Diceros bicornis minor: one gene and its partner. The protein of the gene in region 1 purifies or fractionates together with the protein of each later gene. This does not show direct contact. Links are inferred from orthologs where the notes say so. Each region holds a gene or a part of one and is shown on either strand. Other genes may lie near its edges.

Region 1 (10,167 bases):
TAAATACATATAAAGGTAATATTTAAAACAATTATAAAAAGAGGGAGAGTAAAGGGAAGTAAGTTTTCTACACTTCATTGAACTGGCAAAATGACACCAGCAGACTGAAAAATTATGCGTACATATAATGTAATACCTAGAGCGACAACTAAAACAGGTATACAAAGAAATACACTTAAAAACACTACATATAAATAAAAATGGAATTCTAAAATATGTTCAAGTAACCCACAGGAAGGCAGGAAAAAGAAAACAAACAACAAATAGAACAAACAGAAAACAATAAAATGGCAGACTTAAACCCTAACATATCAATAATTACATTCAATGTAAATGAGCTGAATACACCAATCAAAACACAGAAATTGGCAGAGTGGATTAAAAACATGACCCAACGTTATGCTTTCTACAAGAAGCTCGATTCAACTATAATAACTATAACAATATAACAATATTGCTTATAACAATAAGCAGTTTGAAAGTACAAGGATGGAAAAAGATATATGATGCAAACATTAATCAAGGGAAAGAGTGAGTGGCTATATTAATATCAGATAAAGTAGATTTCAGAGCAAATAAAATTACCAGAGACAGAGAGGCATTATGGTAGCCTATACCAATTCATTTTATGTAGCCAATATTACCCTGATACCAAAACTAGATAAAGACAGTAGAAAAACCAAACAAAAAGAAACCTACAGACCAATATCCCTAATGAATATAGGTACAAACATCTTTAATGAAATATTAGCAAATAGAATTCAGCCATACGTTAAACAAGTGTACACCATGACCAAGCGGGGTTTATTCCAGAGATGCAAGGCTGGTTCAACACTTGAAAATCAATCAAAGTAATCCACTGTATTAACAAGCTAAAGAGGAAAAGTCATGTGATCATATCAATTGATGCAGAAAAGCATTTGGCACAATACAACACCCATTCATGACAAAAAAAATTCTCAGAAAATAAGAACAGAGGGCAACTTCAACAACTTGATAAGAAGCATCTATAAAATACCTACAGCTAACATTATACTTAATAGTAACAGACTGAAAGCTTTCTCCCTAAAACTGGGAACAAGGCAAGAATAACTGCTCTTCTACTCTTATTCAACATAGTGCTTGAAGCTCTAGCCAGTGCAGTAAGGCGAGAAAAAGAAATGAAACGCATACAGATTGGAAAGGAATAAATGAAACACTCCCTCTTTGCAGAAGACATGATTGTCCCTGGGATTAATCTACAAAAAAGTATCCTTTAGAACCAATAAGTGAGTTCAGCAAGGTCACAGGATACAAGATAAACATACAAAAATCAATTGTATTTCTATTCACTAGAATACATGGACACCGAAATTAAAAATATAATACCACTTACAATTGCTTTTTTTAAACTGAAACTTTTTTTATTGAGATGAAATTCACATAACATAAAATTAGCCATATTAAAGTAAACAATTCAGTGGCATTTAATACATTCACAAAGTTGTCCAACCACCACCTCTCTCTACTTCCAAAATATTTTCATCACCCTAAAAGGAAACCACATATCCATTAAGCAGTTACTCCCCATTCCTCCCTACCCCCATTCCCTGGCAACCACTAATCTGCTTTCTATCTCTATGGATTTACCAATTCTGCATATTTCATATAAAAGAAATGATACAATATGTGACCTTTTGTGTCTAGCTTCTTTCATCTAGCATGTCTTTGAGGTTCATCAACATTGTAGCATATATTAGTACTTCATTCTTTTTTATGGCTGTATAGTATTCTATTGTATATGTATACCACAATTTGTTTATCCATCCATCCATTGACAGACCTATGGAGTGTCTTTACCTTTTGACTATTGTACATAATGCTGCTATGAACACATGTGTACATATATTTGTTTGAGTACCTCTTTTCAATTATTTTGGATTTATACCTAGGAGTGGAATTGCTTGATCATATTATAATTCTATGTTTAACTTTTTGAGAAACCACCAAACTGTTTCTCACATTGGCTGAACCATTTTACATTCCTACCAGCAGTGTATACAATTGCTTTTTTTAAAAAGGAAACATTAAGTGTAAATCTTACAAAACACATGTAAGACTTGTATGCTGAAAACTTCAAAACACTGATGAAAGAAATCAAAGATCTAAAATAAATGGAGAGGCATACCTTGTTCATGGATTGGAAGGCTCAACATAGTAAAGATGTCAATTCTCTCCAATATAGGTTTAACACGATTCCTATCAAAATCTAGGCAAAATTATTTTTCTAAAATTTATGTGGAAAGTCAAAGGAACCAGAACAGGTAAAGCAATTTTGAAAAAGAATAAAATGGGAGGAATTGACCTACCCAATTTCAAGACTGTATGATATTGGCAAAGAGATAAACACACAGATCAATGAAACAGAACAGAGAATCCAGAAATAGACCTACACAAAGGTGTAAAGGTAATTTAACGGAGGAAAGATAGCCTTTTCAACAAATAGTACCGGAGCAGCAATTAGACATCTATAGGCAAAAAAAAAAAAAAAAAAAAAATTAACCCTGCCTCAAGTCTCTTCTTATACAAAAATTAACTCAAAATGGATCATGGGTTTAAATGTCTGACATAAAACTATAAAACTTTTAGGGGAAAAAAAGGAGAAAATCATTGAAATCTAGGGCTTGTCAAAAAGTTCTTAGACTTGATACCAAAAGCATGATTCGTACAAGGAAAAGCTGATAAACTGGACTTCATCAAATTAAAAATCTTTGCTCTGTGAAAGATCCTACTAAGAGAACTAAAAGGCACACTAGGAGTGGAAGAAAATATTTACAAACCACATATCTGACAAAGGGCTAGTATCTAGAATACATAAAGAATTCTCAAAAATCAACAGTAAAAGCAAACAATCCAATTAGAAAATGAACAAAAGACATGAAGAGACATTTCACCCAAGAGGAGATACAGATGGCAAATAGGCACATGAAAAGATGTTCAACATCATTAGCAAATTAAAACCACAATGATATATCACTATCACTACACACTGATCAGAATGGCTAACATAAAACATGGTGACAGGACCAAATACTGATGAGAATGCTATGCAACTGGATCACTCACACATTGCTGGTGGGAATGTAAGATGGTCCAACCACTCTGGAAAACAGTTTGGCAATTTCTTAAGAAACTAAACATGCAACTACCATATGACCCAGCAGTTGCACTCCTGGGCATTTATTCCAAGGAAATGAAAACTTCTGTTCACATATAAACCTGTACATGAATGCCTATAGCAGCTTTATTCATAATAACCCAAACTGGAAATAATCCAAATGTCCTTCAATATGTGAATGGTTAAACGAACTGTGGTTAATCCATACCATGGAATACTACACAGCAATAAAAAGGAAAGGACTACCGACACATGCAACGACTTGGATGAATCTCTAGAGAATTATGCTGAGTGAACAAAAACCAATCCCAAAACGTTACATACTGCATGTTTCCATTTACATAACATTCTTGAAATGACAAAGTATAGAAATGGGAAACAGATTAGTGTTTGCCAGGGGTTTAGGAGGGGGCGGTATGAGGGATCTTTGCAGTGATAGAAATGTTTTGTATCTTGACTTATCAATGCCAACATCCTGGTTGTGATATTTCACTACAGTTCTGCAAGATATTACCGTCAGGGGAGACTGGATTAAGTGTACAAGGATCTCTCTGCATTATTTCTTATAGCTGCATGTGAGTTTACAATGATCTCAAAATAAAGTTTAGTTAAAAACAAACAAAAAATAGCTATGTGTGAAAATTTTTTAATTTTATTGAGGTCATATTAGTTTATAACATTGCAAAATTTCAGTTGTACATTATTATTTGTCAGTCACCACATACATGTGCCCCTTTACCCCTTATGCTCACCCCCAACCCCCTTCCTCTCTGGTAACCACTACTCTGTTCTCTTTGTCCATGTGTTTGTTTATCTTCCACGTATGAGTGAAATCATATGGTATTTGTCTTTCTCTGTCCGGCTTATCTCGCTGAACATAATACCCTCAAGTTCCATCCAGATTGTTGCAAATGGGATGATTTTATCTTTTTTTAGGGCTGAGTAGTATTGTGAATTTTTTTTTAATGACGAATCAGCAAAGAACAGGAGACTATTAAACATGACCAAGAAAACTAGAACTAGAACCAAAAGACTTAGAAAGTAAATATGTTATTGTTGAAATTAAGAACTTAAATGGATGGTGCATTGGTTTCTTATTGCTGCTGTAACAACTTACCACAAACTTAGTGACTTAAAACAACACAAATTTATGATTTTAGGGTTCTGGAGGTCAGAAGACTGAAATGGGTCTCACTGGACAAAAATGAGAGAGTCAGCAGGACTGTGTTCCTTCTGGAGGCTCTATGGGAGAATCCATTTCCTCGCCTTTTCCAGCTTCTAGAAACCACCCCCATTCCTTAGCTCATAGCTCCATGCCTCCATCTTCAAAGCCAGCAAGGCCAAGTCCTTCTCAGGCCTCCATCTTTTTGGTTCTTCTACTGCCTCCATCTTTCACATATAAGGACCCTAGTGATTACGTTGGGCCCACACCAGTAATCCACCATAATCTTTCCATCTCAAGGTTGGCTGATTAGCACCCTTAACTCCATCTGCTACCTTAATTCTCCTTTACCATATACACAGGGTCCAGGTGTAGGACAGGGGAGGGTGCTATTCTGCCTACCACAGATGGGTTAAACAGAAGATTCAAATATCTACAAAATAATTGATGAATGGAGAGACAGAACTGAAGCAGTTATTCAGAACGCAGCCAGAGAAACGGGATATGGAAAAGATGAAACAGAGTTTAAAAGACATGGAAGATAAAATTCAGAATCCTATTAGAAAAGAAAAATTATCTAATTTTTCCACCAGTTTATATGAGAGTAAACTGGAGGAATCAGCATCCTTAGACTCTTCATTTTGGTGCTTACAAGTTTGCACATTGTATCCCATCAATTTTCTGTTTGCAAAGTTTCATTTTTGAGTTAGGAACATACTTTTCTTTTCTCGGAAGTCAGCTTTCATGGAAATTTAAATATTCATGAGCATATGTGGTCATATGATTGAATGCACTTTAGTGTGAAAAAGCGACAACTTTGTATAGCATCAATATGCCTTATGTAGACCTTCCCTATTTAAAACAGTTAAAAAATATTTTATTGGGGAAATTTCTTAGCAGGTTAAAAACTTCTTTACAAGTCACTACAGCATAATGTATAGGATATAAAATGCACACTGCCAATAACAGATGTACCTATACTGCCAAGAACAGAAAGGAATTTTAAATTTTAAAATTTTTAAAAGTGTAAATCGAAGTATACGCTCTGTTGTAGAAAGTTTGATTACTTTGAGCTAGTTTTCATCGGGGAGCACGTGTCACCTTTTAACAAGAGTTTCACCATCATGCCCTGGCGTTGCCTCTGGTACAAGTGCTGGCTTGGCACTTTTAGGGGGACGAGCCTGGGCTCGCGGCGGCCGTGGCCGAGCTGGCGCCAGGAGTTCCCGAGTGTGTCACCCCTGGGGGAGCTCTCGGGCCGGCCTACTCGCCCCTGCGCAGGGTTTGGCCGCTGGTGCTCGGGCAGGGAGCGCCCCTTGGGGCCGCCCGAGGCCATTGCTTGCGCGGCGTCTGCCGGCTTCCCACGCCCGGCCCGGGCGAGCGGCCGCCCCGCCGCCCCTGCCCCGTCCGCGCCCGCACGGCCTAGGCGTCTCCGCGCAGCGCGGCGAGGCTCGGGGCCGCGGCCGGAGGGGCGCGGCTGCCACTGCCGCCCGGCCAGTTCCCGTTCCGGCCGGCGAGCAGCCCGCTCCCGCCCTGCCCCTGGCGCAGCAGCGGGCACGGCGCGCGCCCGGGCCTCTCGCTCCCGGCTGCTGAGCGGTCTGCAAGCGTGCCGGCCACGTAAGTCCCAGCGACGAGGGGTTCGCGCGGGGCGGGAGTTTCTGGGGTCCTGGGCGCCGCGATGGAGGAGGCGCAGGCAGGCGGGATCCCGCGTGCGGGCGGAATGAAAAGCTGCCCTAGAACGGTTCCAAGTGGAACAAGGCGGAGAAACCGGGGAGTTTGAGGAATGTAGCGAAAGTTCAGAGGGATGAACTTGAGCGTCAGCCGAATTGTGTATCCCGCGGTGGTCCAGGCAGGGCTTCGCAGTCCTGCCTGCCCCTCAGAATCACCCAGGGCTTTTTTAAAATCCAGATGCCCAGGCTGCATCCCAGACCAATTCCATCAGAATCGCTTGGGGTGGGACCCAGCCCTCTGTATTGTTTAAACTCCCCGGGTGATTCCAATGTGCAGCCAGGGTTGGGAACCAATGACCAAAGGGTGGCAGCCCAGAGAAGGTGGAAAGGCAGGCGGGGGGCCTTGATGGAGTCCAGCCCGTGGGATAAACGAATCCGGCTGCTCCCAGTGACCTGTGTGGCCCTGGGGACCGGGCAGCGGACTTCCCTCGGGCTTCCTGAGCCGCAAAGAAGGGGAATGAGGCAATGCTTGGCAGGGTCGCCTGAGTAGCGTGTTCAAAAGAGCCTCAGATATTCACGTAGTGTTTGGCAGGTTGTGAAAAACGTACGAATGCCAGATTGCAGTGCCCTCTTGGTTCTGCTTTCTGGGAAATGCCTCTATTGTCGGCATTTGAAATTAAGTTGAGGGAACTAGCAAACTGATGGCCTTTACAACTTCTGGGTTTTCTCCTTTAAGGATGAAGCTGGATGTGCTTGCCACAGGGTCGGGTTTGTCCCTCCTAAAAGCCCCCTATTTAAGATATACAGTGTCCAGGAACAGGAACTTCACCGTGGATATTAGAGAGGAGTGGATTTCGCAGCATGGACCCTGTCCTCACCCCAGGGCAGATGCTGGGGGCCGGGAGCTGTAATCCCAGCAAGCAGGACCACTGAACGAGAGACAGACATATGCCCGCAGATAAGAAAGGTGGATTTAAAACAAACTGCAGCAGAGAAATAGGAGAAGAGAGGACTTCCCAAAGGGTCTAAGAAGAATAGGTTTTATTTCTGTGGAGTGGAGAAATAAGTTCAAGTTTTGGAGCCCATCAAACTGGGCCCAAATTCAGACTCTGTCACTTCTGTGATATGTGACCGTGGGCAAGTTATATGACCTCTCTGAGCCCCTGTCTTCTTACCTGTAAAACGGGAATAAAAATAGTAACTCTGTCCTGGCGCTAATATAGTTAAATGAGATAATGTGTATCAACCTCAAGGCAGAGCAGGTGGCACATGGCAGGTGCTCTGTCAGTGGCAGTTGTTAGGCACAGTAGCGGTGATTTGTGTACAACAGTTGTTTATTTAGTACAGCCATAGTGAGGGAGAGTGCTTATCCAGAAATTGTCTCCCTGAAACTCCATTCCCCTGCTCTTCTGCCCTGCTCAGAGGAGGGCTCTGTGGCTCCTTCCCCCGAGGGCCTCTGGGTACTTTGAGGTCTGGAATCTCAGGCCACCAGCTTCTCCGCCTAGATGGCTTACTAAGACAGTTTTACACCATGTGATAGGAATGAAATTTCTTGACAAAAGAAAGCGGTCCTTAATCTTGAGACTTCCTCCACCCACCGCCACATATATCAAAAAATGGTCTCCCCGGCCGGCCCCATGGCTTAGTGGTTAAGTGCGCGAGCTCCGCTGCTGGCCGCCTGGGGTTCCGATCCCGGGTACGCACCGACGCACCGCTTCTCCGGCCATGCTGAGGCCGCGTCCCACGTACAGCAACTAAAAGGATGTGCAGCTATGACATACAACTATCTACTGGGGCTTTGAGGGAAAAAAAAAAAAATTTATTAAAAAAAAAAAAAATGGTCTCCCGAGAAAGCTGGGCTATCTCCAGGTCTCAGAATTGATGTGAGAACACACGTGGCTCTCCTGCTGGCAGCATCCTCAGGGCACATCCTGGCTGTTCCTGTTTTGCTCGGACTGTTGGCCTAGGGAGAATGAATCCTTCTTTGATGACCAAAAAGAGTCAGGAATTTGGGGAACAGGGGACCCACATCTTACGATTATTGATGCTGGTGTCCCAGCTCAACCTTTCACCCTGGTACCTGCTGTGCATGTCATTGACGATCATTTTGATGGTAACAGCAGCACTGTTAGATTAGACATTAGAAATATGAACAGCAACATAATGTTGGTGTAACGGTCAAGTGCTTTTACAGGGTATGTGCAATCTCTGATTTTTGCCTAAATGAGAGTATCAAAGTCTTGTCTCTTTTTATTCAAAGAAAAGGGTTCACTATTTCTTCAAAACCTAAGACATAAATCTACGATTTGAGGTTTAAGTTACCAGTTTCTTGTACAATTCTTCTTTTTTGGGGAGTTTAGGCAAGATGAAATTAGAAAAGCTAAAATTTGTACTTGTGCTGAATTTTTGTCATGCAGAAGCTGTAGGTATTTTGCAAGTTTCTGGAAGTCCTGTTTTCTTTTATCTTCTGGGCAAAGTCAGTTGCATCTCACACAGAAGCCTCCTTTCATCAGTCCTCAAGGTCTGAACTTGTTTTGAGGAAAACTCTTTCGTGCATCAAATGATCATTGAGGGCAAATGTTTTTTCCAAACTTGACTCTTGTAGTAAGAAGTGAGTAATCACTGCCATTTCAGTTAATTGATGGTTTTTTACCCAGTGCTAGAAAGTGTGACAAAGCAAGACTTCCTGGATGGAATTTTTACTCTTGTGTTTTATCTAGAACTGCCACAGACCAAACTGTGGGCAGAGATTATGATGCAGAGTTGGCCAAGGCAAGCTCGCCATCACCCCTCCCTTTTGCCATCCTCCCAGCCTTTGGAGCCAATGAGCCAGCTAGGCTGGAGATGCTGTCACTCTGAGGGGATCTTGGCCTCTGATGGAGAGGAGTGCTCTAAAAAGGAATGCGCTTCTCTAGAGCCAGCAAGGAAATTTTGTGTAACACGTCATTAAAATCAATAGGGTACTCTCTAGTACACTGCCACTTTGAAATTTGTTGTGCTGAGTAGTCATTTTCCTCTAAATTATAGAAAACTGTAGTTTGAAGGACTAATAAATAGTTCAACCTGAGGGCTCAGGTAATTGCAAAGTGAGCACCAGATTAGCACCAGGTTTTGGTAGGTTAATATTTTAATAAAACATGAAAAGTCACCACATCACTGTTATATCTTTGTTCGGGATGTTGATATCCCTTGCCCTTCTATGTGTCATCACTACCATACCAGGTTAGGGGCAGAAAAGAGTTGGGAGGATGTAGTGACTTGTGTTGGAGAGGGGGAAATTCCCCCCTCTACCCATCTTGTGTTCTTATGGCTGTACTGCTAATAAAATTGACGCAAGACCAGATTAACAGGAGAAAAACCAATTTATTACGTCTGCACGGGAGATCAGAAAAAAATGATGCTCAGAGATTGAACAAAGCAGGACGTTTATATATATTTTTACGTACAAAAAACAATAAATTTGTGAGGAATTGACAGGACAAAGAAACTTAGGTTTGGGGTATGTAATTAGTGAGGAATTTAAGCAGAGTTTAGGCTTGAGGTGATAAATTAGTAAAAGTAACAAGGTTTGTTTCTGTAGACTTCTTGACCCTGAATTCCGTAGTTCTGGTGATAAGGATGTCTGTCTCCTGGCATGGGGAGGGTACCTTTCACATAGGACATTTATTTCCTGTTTTGGGGGGGAACAGAGAGAGGAGTATCAAAACTTTACCAAGTCAAAACAAGTAGATTTAATTCAAAATAACCAATATGCCATTGTGGGGTATTTTGGGGCAACCTGCCCTGGGCCCCTACACTTGGTAGATCTTTTCAGAGCCACGTGTAACTGGGTAGGACAGTCACATATTGCTAAGGAAAATCTTTATATGGTAGAAGACCTGTGAGCAGATGATGATTTCCTTGAAAAAATATTTGTGTTGTTCTGATAAATATTTCCCAAAAGATAAAAGTCTAATGACTAAGAACTCCCCATGCTTTTTTTTTAAACACATTCCCCAATTGCTGTCTAGGACCCCAAACCAAACCTTCTAGAAGGAACTGGATGGAAAGCTAGGCTTTCCTATCCTAACTCCTTATTCAGGACAACAGGTGGGCCCCCCAGCATGGAGAGGGCCATTCCTGGACTCCATTCAACAAGGCCATTGCTTTACATTTAGTATGAATTCAGGCACACTGATGAT
Region 2 (10,047 bases), on another chromosome or scaffold:
CATAGCTAATATCATTCTCAATGGAGAAAAACTGAAAGCTATCCCTCTAAGAACAGGAACCAGACAAGGATGCCCACTTTCAACACTCTTATTTAACATAGTATTGGAAGTCCTAGCCAGAGCAATCAGGCAAGAAAAAGAAATAAGAGGGGTCCAAATTGGAAAGAAAGAAGTGAAACCATCACTATTTGCAGATGACATGATTTTATATATAGAAAACCCTAAAGAATGCACAAAAAAACTTTTAGAAATAATGAATGAATATGGTAAAGCTGCAGGATACAAAATCAACATACAAAATTCAGTTGCATTTCTATACACTAACAATGAAGTAGCAGAAAGAGAAAGTAAGAGTACAATCCCATTTACAATCTCAATAAAAAGAATAAAATACCTAGGAATAAACTTAACCAAAGAGGTGAAAGACCTCTACACTGAAAACTATAAAACATTGTTGAAAGAAAAAGAAGACACAAAGAAATGGAAAGATATTCCATGCTCTTGGATTGGAAGAATTAACATAGTTAACATGTCCATACTTCCTAGAGCAATCTATAGATTCAATGCAATCCCTATCAAAGTTCCAGTGACGTTTTTCACAGAAATAGAACAAAGAATCCTAAAATTTATATGAAACAAAAAAAGACCCTGAAAAGACAAAGGAATCCTGAGAAAAAAGAACAAAGCTGGAGGTATCACATTCCCTGATTTCAAAATATACTACAAAGCTATAGTAACCAAAACAGCATGGTACTGGCATAAAAACAGACACATAGATCAATGGAATAGAACTGAAAGAACAGAAATAAACCCACACATATATGGGCAGCTAATTTTCGACAAAGGAGCCAAGAAAATACAATGGAGGAAGGAAAGTCTCTTCAATAAATGGTGTTGGGAAAATTAGACAGCCACATACAAAAGAATGAAAGTAGACCATTATATTACACCATACACAAAAATTAACTCAAAATGGATTAAAGACTTGAATGTAAGACCTGAAACCATGAAACTTCTAGAAGAAAACATAGGCAGTACACTCTTCAACATCAGTCTTAGCAGCATATTTTTAACTACCACGTCTGACCAGGCAAAGGAAACAGTAGAAAAAATAAACAAATGGGACTACATCAAACTAAAAAGCTTCTGCACAGCAAAGGAAACCATCAACAAAACAAAAAGACAACCTAACAATTGGGAGAAGATGTTGCAAACCATATAACTGATAAGGGGTTAATATCTAAATATATAAAGAACTCATACATCTTAACAACAACAAAACTAACAACCCAATTAAAAAATGGGCAAAAGATCTGAACAGACATTTCTCCAAAGAAGATATACAAATGGCCAACAGGCACATGAATAGATGTTCAACATCATTAACTATCAGGGAAATGCAAATCAAAACTACAATGAGATATGACCTAACTCCCGTCAGAATGGCTATAACTAACAACACAGGAAACAACAAGTGTTGGACAGAAGGGAACTCTCATACACTGCTTGTGGGAGTGCAAACTGGTGCAGCCACTACGGAAAACAGTATGAAGGTTCCGCAAAAAATTAAGGATAGAACTACCATATAATCCAGCTATTCCACTGCTGGGTATTTACCCAAAGAACATAAAATCACGAATGCATAAAGATATATGCACCCGTATGTTCATTGCAGCGTTATTCACAATAGCCAAGACTTGGAAGCAACCTAGTGCCCATCAAGGGACGAATGGATAAAGAAGATGTGGTATATATACACAATGGAATACTATTCAGCCATAAGAAATGAGGAACTCCAGCCATTTGTGACAACATGGATGGACCTTGAGGGTATTATGCTAAGCAAAATAAGTCAGAGGGATTAGGTCAAATACTGTATGATCTCATTCATATATAGTAGATAAAAACAACAACAAACACAAAGAGACAGAGAGTGGATTGGTGGTTACCAGAGGGGAAGAGGGGAGGCAGGAGTGTGAAAGGGGTGACTAGGCATATGTGTGTGGTGATGGATTGTAATTAGTCTTTGGGTGGTGAACATGATGTAATCTACACAGAATTTGAAATATAATGATGTACACTCAAAATTTATATAAGGTTATAAACCTATGTTACTACAATAAAAATTATAAATAGAAGAAAATATAATTACCAAAAAAAAAAAAGAGGTGCCAGCCCTGTTGCCTAGTAGTTAAAGTTCCGTGTGCTCCTCTTCGGCAGCCTGAGTTCGCAGGTTCAGATCCTGGGCACAGACGTACACTACTAGTCAGCCATGCTGTGGTGGCATCCCACATACAAAATAGAGGGAGACTGGCACAGACATTAGCTCCAGGCTAATCTTCCTCAAGCAAAAAAAAAAAGAGGATGATTGGCAGCAGATGTTAGCTCAGGGTGAATCTTCCTCAGCAAAAAAAAAAGATGAAGAAGCTTTTTATTTCTTGTTTGTTTTCATAAGGAAGGATATTTATGATATATTGTTCAATGAAAAACAAGCAAGGTGAACAGGTATATAGTGTGGTACTAATTACATGAAAGAGAGACATTATATATATATATATATACACATATATTTGTTTCATATATACTAATAACTTTTTATTGAAGTATAGCATATACATGTACAGAGAAAAGTACACATTAAGTGTAACCTTAAAGAATGTTCATAAACTGAACGCACCCGTGTAACTGGCACGTAGAGTTTAGGTCCTAGATCAAGAAACAGAACATTACTATCATCCCAGGCGTCCCATCATGTCCCTTTTAGTCACTACCTCCACCCTACAAGAGTGGCCACTATTGTGATTTCTAAAAGTATAGGTTAGTTTTGTTAACTTTTGTACTTAATAGAAATGTAGTCATACAATATGTACTCTTCTGTGTCTGGCTTTTTTAATCCAACATTATATTTGTGTGATTCATCAATATTGTCATACACTGTTCAATCTCACTGCTGTTTAGTATTCCATTGTATAAATGTGCCACAATTTATTAACCCATTCTACTGTTTATGGGTATTTAGGTAATTTCCAGTTGGAAGCTATTATAAATACCACAGCTACGAACATTCTAGTATATGCATATACGTGTCCACATACCTAGGAGAGAGTGATAAGATCTGCATAACTGCAATTTTAATAGTAACTGCCATACGGTTTACAAAATTGATTGTACCAATTGACACTCCCATCAGCACTGTACAAGAGTTCCAATTGTTACAAATCCTCACTCACACTTGGTATCTGTCTTTTTAATTTTATTCTTGTATTTGTGTAGTGATCTTGCATTGTGGTTTTAACTTGTACTTCTCTGATGACTAATGATGTTGAATATATTTTCATCTTCATTTGCTATTTAGATATCACCCTTTGTGAGGTGTCTAGGTCTTCTGCCCAATTTTCTATTGTATTGTCTGTCTTCTACACTTTTAAATTTTGAAACGTGAATATATTATTTATTTTTTTAAAAGTACATTTAAAAGTAATGCAATTAAAAATATAAATAAATTTTATAGAGCTCTATGATGCATGCTCTCTCCTTCTTAGAGATTTACAATATACCAGTATTTCAAAAGCTCTGAAAAGTCTTAAAGTTTCACCACCATGGAACAGTTTGGAGAAATGCTGCTTCCATTCTTGTATAATTTTTATTTTTCATGGAATTAATAATTGCCTTTTTTTCACTTTCTTAGATTTTAAGTTCTCTCTCCACGTATTTCATTAGATATATCCAACACCTATCAATATAATTTCCCAAATATTCAAAATTAATCTATAAATTCAATTATTTTAGAGTTTTTCTTCTTGGAGTCTGTCATCTTCCTGCTCCAGTGAAAATAAGTTGCTCTCCAATTCTGCTACATATCTTTCATTCTGGGGTTTCCCTTTCCATTCTTCTGGTCCTGTTTTCTGGATCTCATGTCTCTCTCTTTTGTGTGTGTGTGTGTGAGAGGAAGATCAGCCCTGAGCTAACATCCATGCTAATCCTCCTCTTTTTGCTGAGGAAGACCAGCTCTGCGCTAACATCTATTGCCAATCCTTCTCCTTTTTTTCCCCCAAAGCCCCAGTAGATAGTTGTATGTCATAGTTGCACATCCTTCTAGTTGCTGTATGTGGAACGCGGCCTCAGCATGGCCGGAGAAGCGGTGCGGCGGTGCATGCCCGGGATCCCAACCCCGGTCACCAGTAGCAGAGCGTGCGCACTTAACCGCTAAGCCATGGGGCCGGCCCTCTCTGTTTCTTAACTTACTCCCATATTTTGTTGGAGCACAGCCTCTAGTAGCTTTCTTTAAAAAAAAAAAAAACGGGGGGGGGGGCGACCCGTGGCTTGGCGGTTAAGTGCGAGTGCTCCGCTACTGGCCACCCGGGTTCGGATCCCAGGCGCACACAGACTCACCGCTTCTCTGGCCATGCTGAGGCGGCATCCCACATATAGCAACTAGAAGGATGTGCAACTATGACATACAACTATGTACTAGGGCTTTGGGGAGAAAAAGGGAAAAAAAGGAGGAGGATTGGCAATAGATGTTAGCTCACGGCAGGTCTTCCTCAGCAAAAAGAGGATTAGCACTGATGTTAGCTCAGGGCTGACCTTCCTCAAAAAAAAAAAAATAAATAAAAAGTGGATGGATGGAAAGTAAATGTTTGCATCCTTGTATATATCAAAATGTTTTTATTCTGCTCTTATACTTGGGTAGTTTGAGCGACTACAGCATTCTAGGTTGGAAGTTATTGTCCTTCAAAACTTTGAAGAAATTTCACTTCAGTGTTTTAGCATAAAAGTGTTATTGTTGAGAAATCCAATGCCACTCTAATTCTCATCCCTTTATTCTTGTTTCTTCCCTCTGAAAACTTTTAGAATCTTTTATTCTTAGTGTCTGACCTTTTTAATGATGTGCTTTAATACAGGTCTTTTTTCATTCACTGTAGGTACCTGTTGGCCCCTTTCAATATGGAGACCCCTGTCCTTCCATCCTGGCAAAATTTCTTGAATTATTATTTGGGTCATTCCCTCCCTGTTTACTTTTTGTTCTCTTTTTCTGCAACTCTTAGTTTGTTAACTGAGTGGTTGAATGAGTGAATTGGAAATCGGATACAAAGTATCCAGTCATATCTTTAAAGCTAAGCCTTTTATTTTAAACGATCAAAATTTTTTAAATACACTATTTCATTACAACTTCCCACTGCATATTGTGAAAAGTAACACTGCTACTGTCATTTCAGGCAATACAAAAATACAGGAAGCATTCGTTCTCTGTAGGCGGAAAACCTCCACTCGCCTCAGGCATTCCTTATTACTGTTGCCTCAGAACTCATTAAATGCCCAGCATGGACTTGGTATTGTATATAATATTTGCAGTCACATCCTACAAAATAGTCATCTAAGTAGAAACGTGTTTGCTTAAACTAAAAAGATGGAACTATGTTTGCAGTCTTTTTTTTTGGTTGGCATTAAACACTGATTGCATTTCTCCCGGACCTATAAGAAATTTTTGCAGTCTTATTTGGAGTCAGACGGCTGGATTCTCTAGAGGTTATTTTTCAATCTCCGTATGTAATTACGAACATAAGATAGAAGACGAGAGAGACAAGCCAGTCCCTAGTAGAGGAGCACGTAACAGGAGCTAGACCCCTGAACCTGCTGCCCGGGTTGAACTCCGAAAGCGCTATCATCGCCCTTCCCTCTTGAACTAACTGAGGGCGAAAGAAGGCTGGGTCCAGGGAGACATGTGAATGAACGTACACCCTTCGTGCCTCGCGGGGCTCAGGAAGCGGAAAGCCCTGGAAGTCCGACGCTCCCTCCAGGCGCTCGCCGCGCACGCGCGCATCGGGACTCCGGCGCCCTCCCCTGGCGCCCCCGCCCCCCTCTCCCGGGTTTCCCGACTCCCCCAAGACGCGCGGCCCAGCGCCCGCGTGAGGGCCCGCTGACCAAAGTAGGCTGCTGCGGGAGCCTTCCCCAGAGGGACGCTTCGCCACACCCGGGGAGTTGGGGAGAGGAGACCGGAGGAGCGCTTCCGGCCCCGCCCGCCCCTGACACCCGGCCCGAGCCCGCCGCCGCAGCGGCCCTCCCGCGCAGTGACCGCCGCGGACGCCGCCTGAGGAGCGGGAGGGCGGAGCTCCGGCGGCCGGCGGGCCCTCCCGCGCAGTGGCCGCCGCGGACGCCGCCTGAGGAGCGGGAGGGCGGAGTCGGGCGGCCAGGCCGAACGGCCGGGGAGGCCGTCCGGAGAGGAGGCTCCTCCCGCGCGCGCCGCCGCAGAGCCGACCCCGTCTCCGAGCTGGGGAGCCGCTCTGGCGCCGGAAACCGCGGCCGCGGGGCCGGGCGGCCTCGTGACCTGGCGTCGGCGGCAGGGCGGGCCGCGCCGGCCGAGGACCGCGGGAGCTGCGGACGGCGGCGGCGGCTGAGCGCCAGACCATGGACGGGGACGCCATCTGCAGCGCCCTGCCCACCGTCCCCTACCACAAGCTCGCCGACCTGCGCTACCTGAGCCGCGGCGCGTCGGGCACCGTGTCGGCGGCCCGCCACGCGGACTGGCGCGTTCAGGTGGCGGTGAAGCACCTGCACATCCACACCCCGCTGCTCGCCAGGTAGGGCGCTCCCGCGGCGCGCGGCCGCGCCGAGCTCGGCTGCCTGCCCTCCCGCCACGCCGGCCCCGGGCGGGCCGGCTCTAGACCCCAAGCGGGACCACTTGGGTCGGCGCCAGCCCTCCACCTCCAGGCAGTCCTTCGAGGCTTGGGGCTGGCCTGGTGGGCAGAGCCGGCTTCTCGGGAGATGCGGCAGTCGCACTCTTCCGCTCGTCTCTCTTCTCCTCTGTGCTCTTTCCCTCGCACTCTGCTGCGCCCTCTCTCTCCGTACACCAAAAATCGGCAGTCACGGCCCAACTCGAAACGTCCTCTCGGTTGACGTTGATGTGTGTTCATATAGTGAGTGCGGGTTTTGCCTGCTTTGGTTTTTTCCTTTTTTTTCCGCTTTGAAATCGGGCTCTAGGGCTGCGCCGCCCGGTAGGTAGCTGTTAGCCACAAGTGGCTCTTGAGCCCTTGAAATGTGGCCCTCGGAACCGAAATGTGCTATTAGTGTAAAATACACACCGAATTTCGAGCACTTAGTACTAAAAAAAAAAAAAGAATTTATAGTATCTCATTTAAACTTTTATGTTGTTAGCATACTGAGATGATATTTTTGATATATTGGGCTAAATATAAGATATTGTTAAAATTCACGTGTTTCTTTTTTTTATGTTGCCACTGTAAAATTTAAAATTGTACATGTGGGTCACATTGTATTTTTATTGAACAGTGCTCCTCGAGTCTGGGATGTTTTGGTTTGGGCTTTTTGTTGTTGTTTTTGTTTGGTTTGTGGTTTATCACGGGTAGTTATCTAAGTTTAGATACCAAATTCAACATAGCAGGTTAGTTTCGGCTTGCACTCTCATAGGCAAGTCTGTCCCAAGAGGAAATGTGTTTTGTTTTTGCTAACAATAAACTGAATCGGAAGACTGTTAAATGACCAAAAATTTTGATTGTCTCTCACATCCTGGAACCATTTTAGTGCACTGTACGGGTTTGAAGGGAAGGCTAGTATTAGTTTCTATTTCCAGAAAAACATTTCGACCATATACCGTGACTGTACGTGTTAGTCAGTGGGACTAGTCACTAGTCTTGTGTGTTTTCCTACCGATAGGGATTTAACTAGACCCTGCATTCATTTATTAGTGAGTTAACCTCCTTGACTGCAACATTCTCCTCTCCTCCCCTTAAGTGTAGTGTGAAAATACATCTCGCTAGATGCCTGATTGGCCGGAGGCTGTTGGTATCCAATATCAGGTAGATTCCTCAGCTTCAACCCTGACAGTGTTAACTGAACTTTAATCTGCCTGTGGCTTTTCTTTGCTGTCTCTTGCTGTCAAGCTTGGATGGGCTAGATCTCACAGTAGACTTGAGACACTTGTAGAGATTGGTCCCACATTTTTTAGACCATAATCCAGATCTCGTGACCTGTATACAGGGTATAGTGTCTGTTTACCCTGGACCTTGAATTCTGGGGAGCAAGTGCTGGGCAAGCATGTGTGTGTGTCTATGACTACATAATCAACTTTGAAGAGTGGTGGTTGGTTAGAGAGGGTGGATATATTTTATACTTATACGCAAATATATGGAAATCTAGCATTGTAGGACCTATTAGGTATTCTAAAGCAAATTGATCCTCCCATTTTGGATGCTGCGTCTCAAGATTTTAATTTATCTAGGTTTTGTGCCATTTGGGAGCCAAGGAATGGAGTTCCCTTACTATACTCATTAACAATTTTCATAATCTAAAATTCTTTGCTAAATTGGGTGAGGGAGGTAATTCTGTTGTCAAAGAATCCATAAAAACCAGTGGAACACTGGCATTACTGCATCATGTCCTTTTCTCCTTCTTGTTACCTAGATGTTACCATTAGCAGTATTTATGTAGTCTGAGCATAGGGCTGAGCTATGCAGTTGACTCACAGGGTGTCTATTTCCTGACTTATAAAGTGGAAATGATAAATACATGTGCGTCTTGGGCTCTGGTGCAGATAATGTTTGCATTGTTCTTTGGGATCACCTGAAAAAAAAAAAAGTTTCTGTGCTGTTACATGTTATTTTAGTGATGGCTGACTTCTGCTCGATGAGTAGACCTTCCAGCAATCTCCCAACTCCTTATGAGTAGATGAGTCTGATCAGTTGTTCAAACACCCTGTAGATGATGTAACTGTTTTTTGACTGAAATTTTGAGTTGGGTAATTTTGGTGATATGTCTACAGACGGTATATTTTACATTTTTATTTTTAAAAATACAAAAACATTTTTATGTTGGCTCAAACACTCAAAAAAATGAGTGTTTTCCCACTCATTCAATCTTCCCAAAATTTGACTTCAAGAACTTTCTTTCTTCTCTGATTAAGCAGTGGAATGGAAACAAGACAGGTTTTTGAGTCCCACTATTGCAGTTCAAATCTGACTCCAACCCTACAACTTATTTTTGGCATGACCATTGGAAAATTATTAGTTTATCTGAGCCCAAGTGCCCTTATGTATAAAGTGGGGATAATGAAACCAACTTTAGAGGGCTGATCTTTTAGAATGATAGTACATATAAAGTGGCTGACACATAATAGGATCACAAGAGAAGGAAGAATGCCTCATGCTCGTAATGTGAGGAGGAAAGAGTGTAGTATTAGGTATCACTGAGACTTGCCCAGCATGCCCTTTCTGTAGTTCTTTCTCAGAGGAGCCAGGAATCTTCAGGTGGATCCTGTCTCCCTGCGAGGATGCTACACAATAACTTGTCTGTTGACCTGTGTCTCTTGATGCAAGTACAGAATTGTTTCAACTTACAGAATATAAGTTTAATTAAAACAAGTCTCACAAACTGATACAATTTGTTGCCTCACAGTTGGGAGCATTAAGAGGCTGAAGAACAGGGAGAAGGACAAAAATCTTTCACTTTATGCCATCTTGTAACTCTTGAATTTTGATACATATAAGTATATTACCTATTCAAAACAAAATTGACTAAGATTTTTTGCTTTATTTTGCTCTTTGTGTTTAAAGCAGGCCTCATAGTCTGGTCTGGAATGTCTGTTGCTTTTCTTATTTCAACAGCCATTCATCCAGAGCTTGGTGGTTTAAGAGCAACTAATCATCATCACTCACCTAATAGGCTTCACCTGGAGACGTTTCTCTTTCTGTTATTGCTGCTACCAACAACCATTCATCCAGGGTAAAAACTGATGACACCTTCAATTCCCTTCCATTTTTTTGGTCCCTCTTAGTCAGTCACCATGGCCTGGGTAGTCTATTCAGCTAGTGTATTTCTTTCCATTTCCACTGTGACCTTTACAGTTTCAGGCTCTCATTCTTCACATCTTAACTGGTGTTATAATCTTCTAACACCTGACTTTCAAACTCTTAACTCTTTCTGCTGGTCCTACATCCTGCTACCAAGTTAATCCTCTTAAAAGTTTGTTCTGCTCATGTCATTCCTCTGCTTAAAAACCTGCAGTCACAACTCAGACTACCAAGTAAAGTA

What was found.
Region 2: the proteins of NOD1 (region 1) and RIPK2 purify together in Homo sapiens (affinity purification with western blotting; 4 studies listed by BioGRID and IntAct, with this or other methods). This does not show direct contact. The link is inferred for Diceros bicornis minor from reciprocal best matches to the Homo sapiens genes NOD1 and RIPK2.

What each region holds. Positions count from the first base shown.
Region 1 is NC_080742.1:54,811,347-54,821,513, reverse strand, and holds the start of NOD1 (nucleotide-binding oligomerization domain-containing protein 1), read left to right. Parts: upstream 1-5,858; 5' UTR 5,859-5,933; intron 5,934-10,167. UniProt on the Homo sapiens protein: Pattern recognition receptor (PRR) that detects bacterial peptidoglycan fragments and other danger signals and thus participates in both innate and adaptive immune responses.
Region 2 is NC_080760.1:9,526,811-9,536,857, forward strand, and holds the start of RIPK2 (receptor-interacting serine/threonine-protein kinase 2), read left to right. Parts: upstream 1-6,332; 5' UTR 6,333-6,408; coding exon 6,409-6,581; intron 6,582-9,620; exon of another isoform or gene 9,621-9,738; intron 9,739-10,047.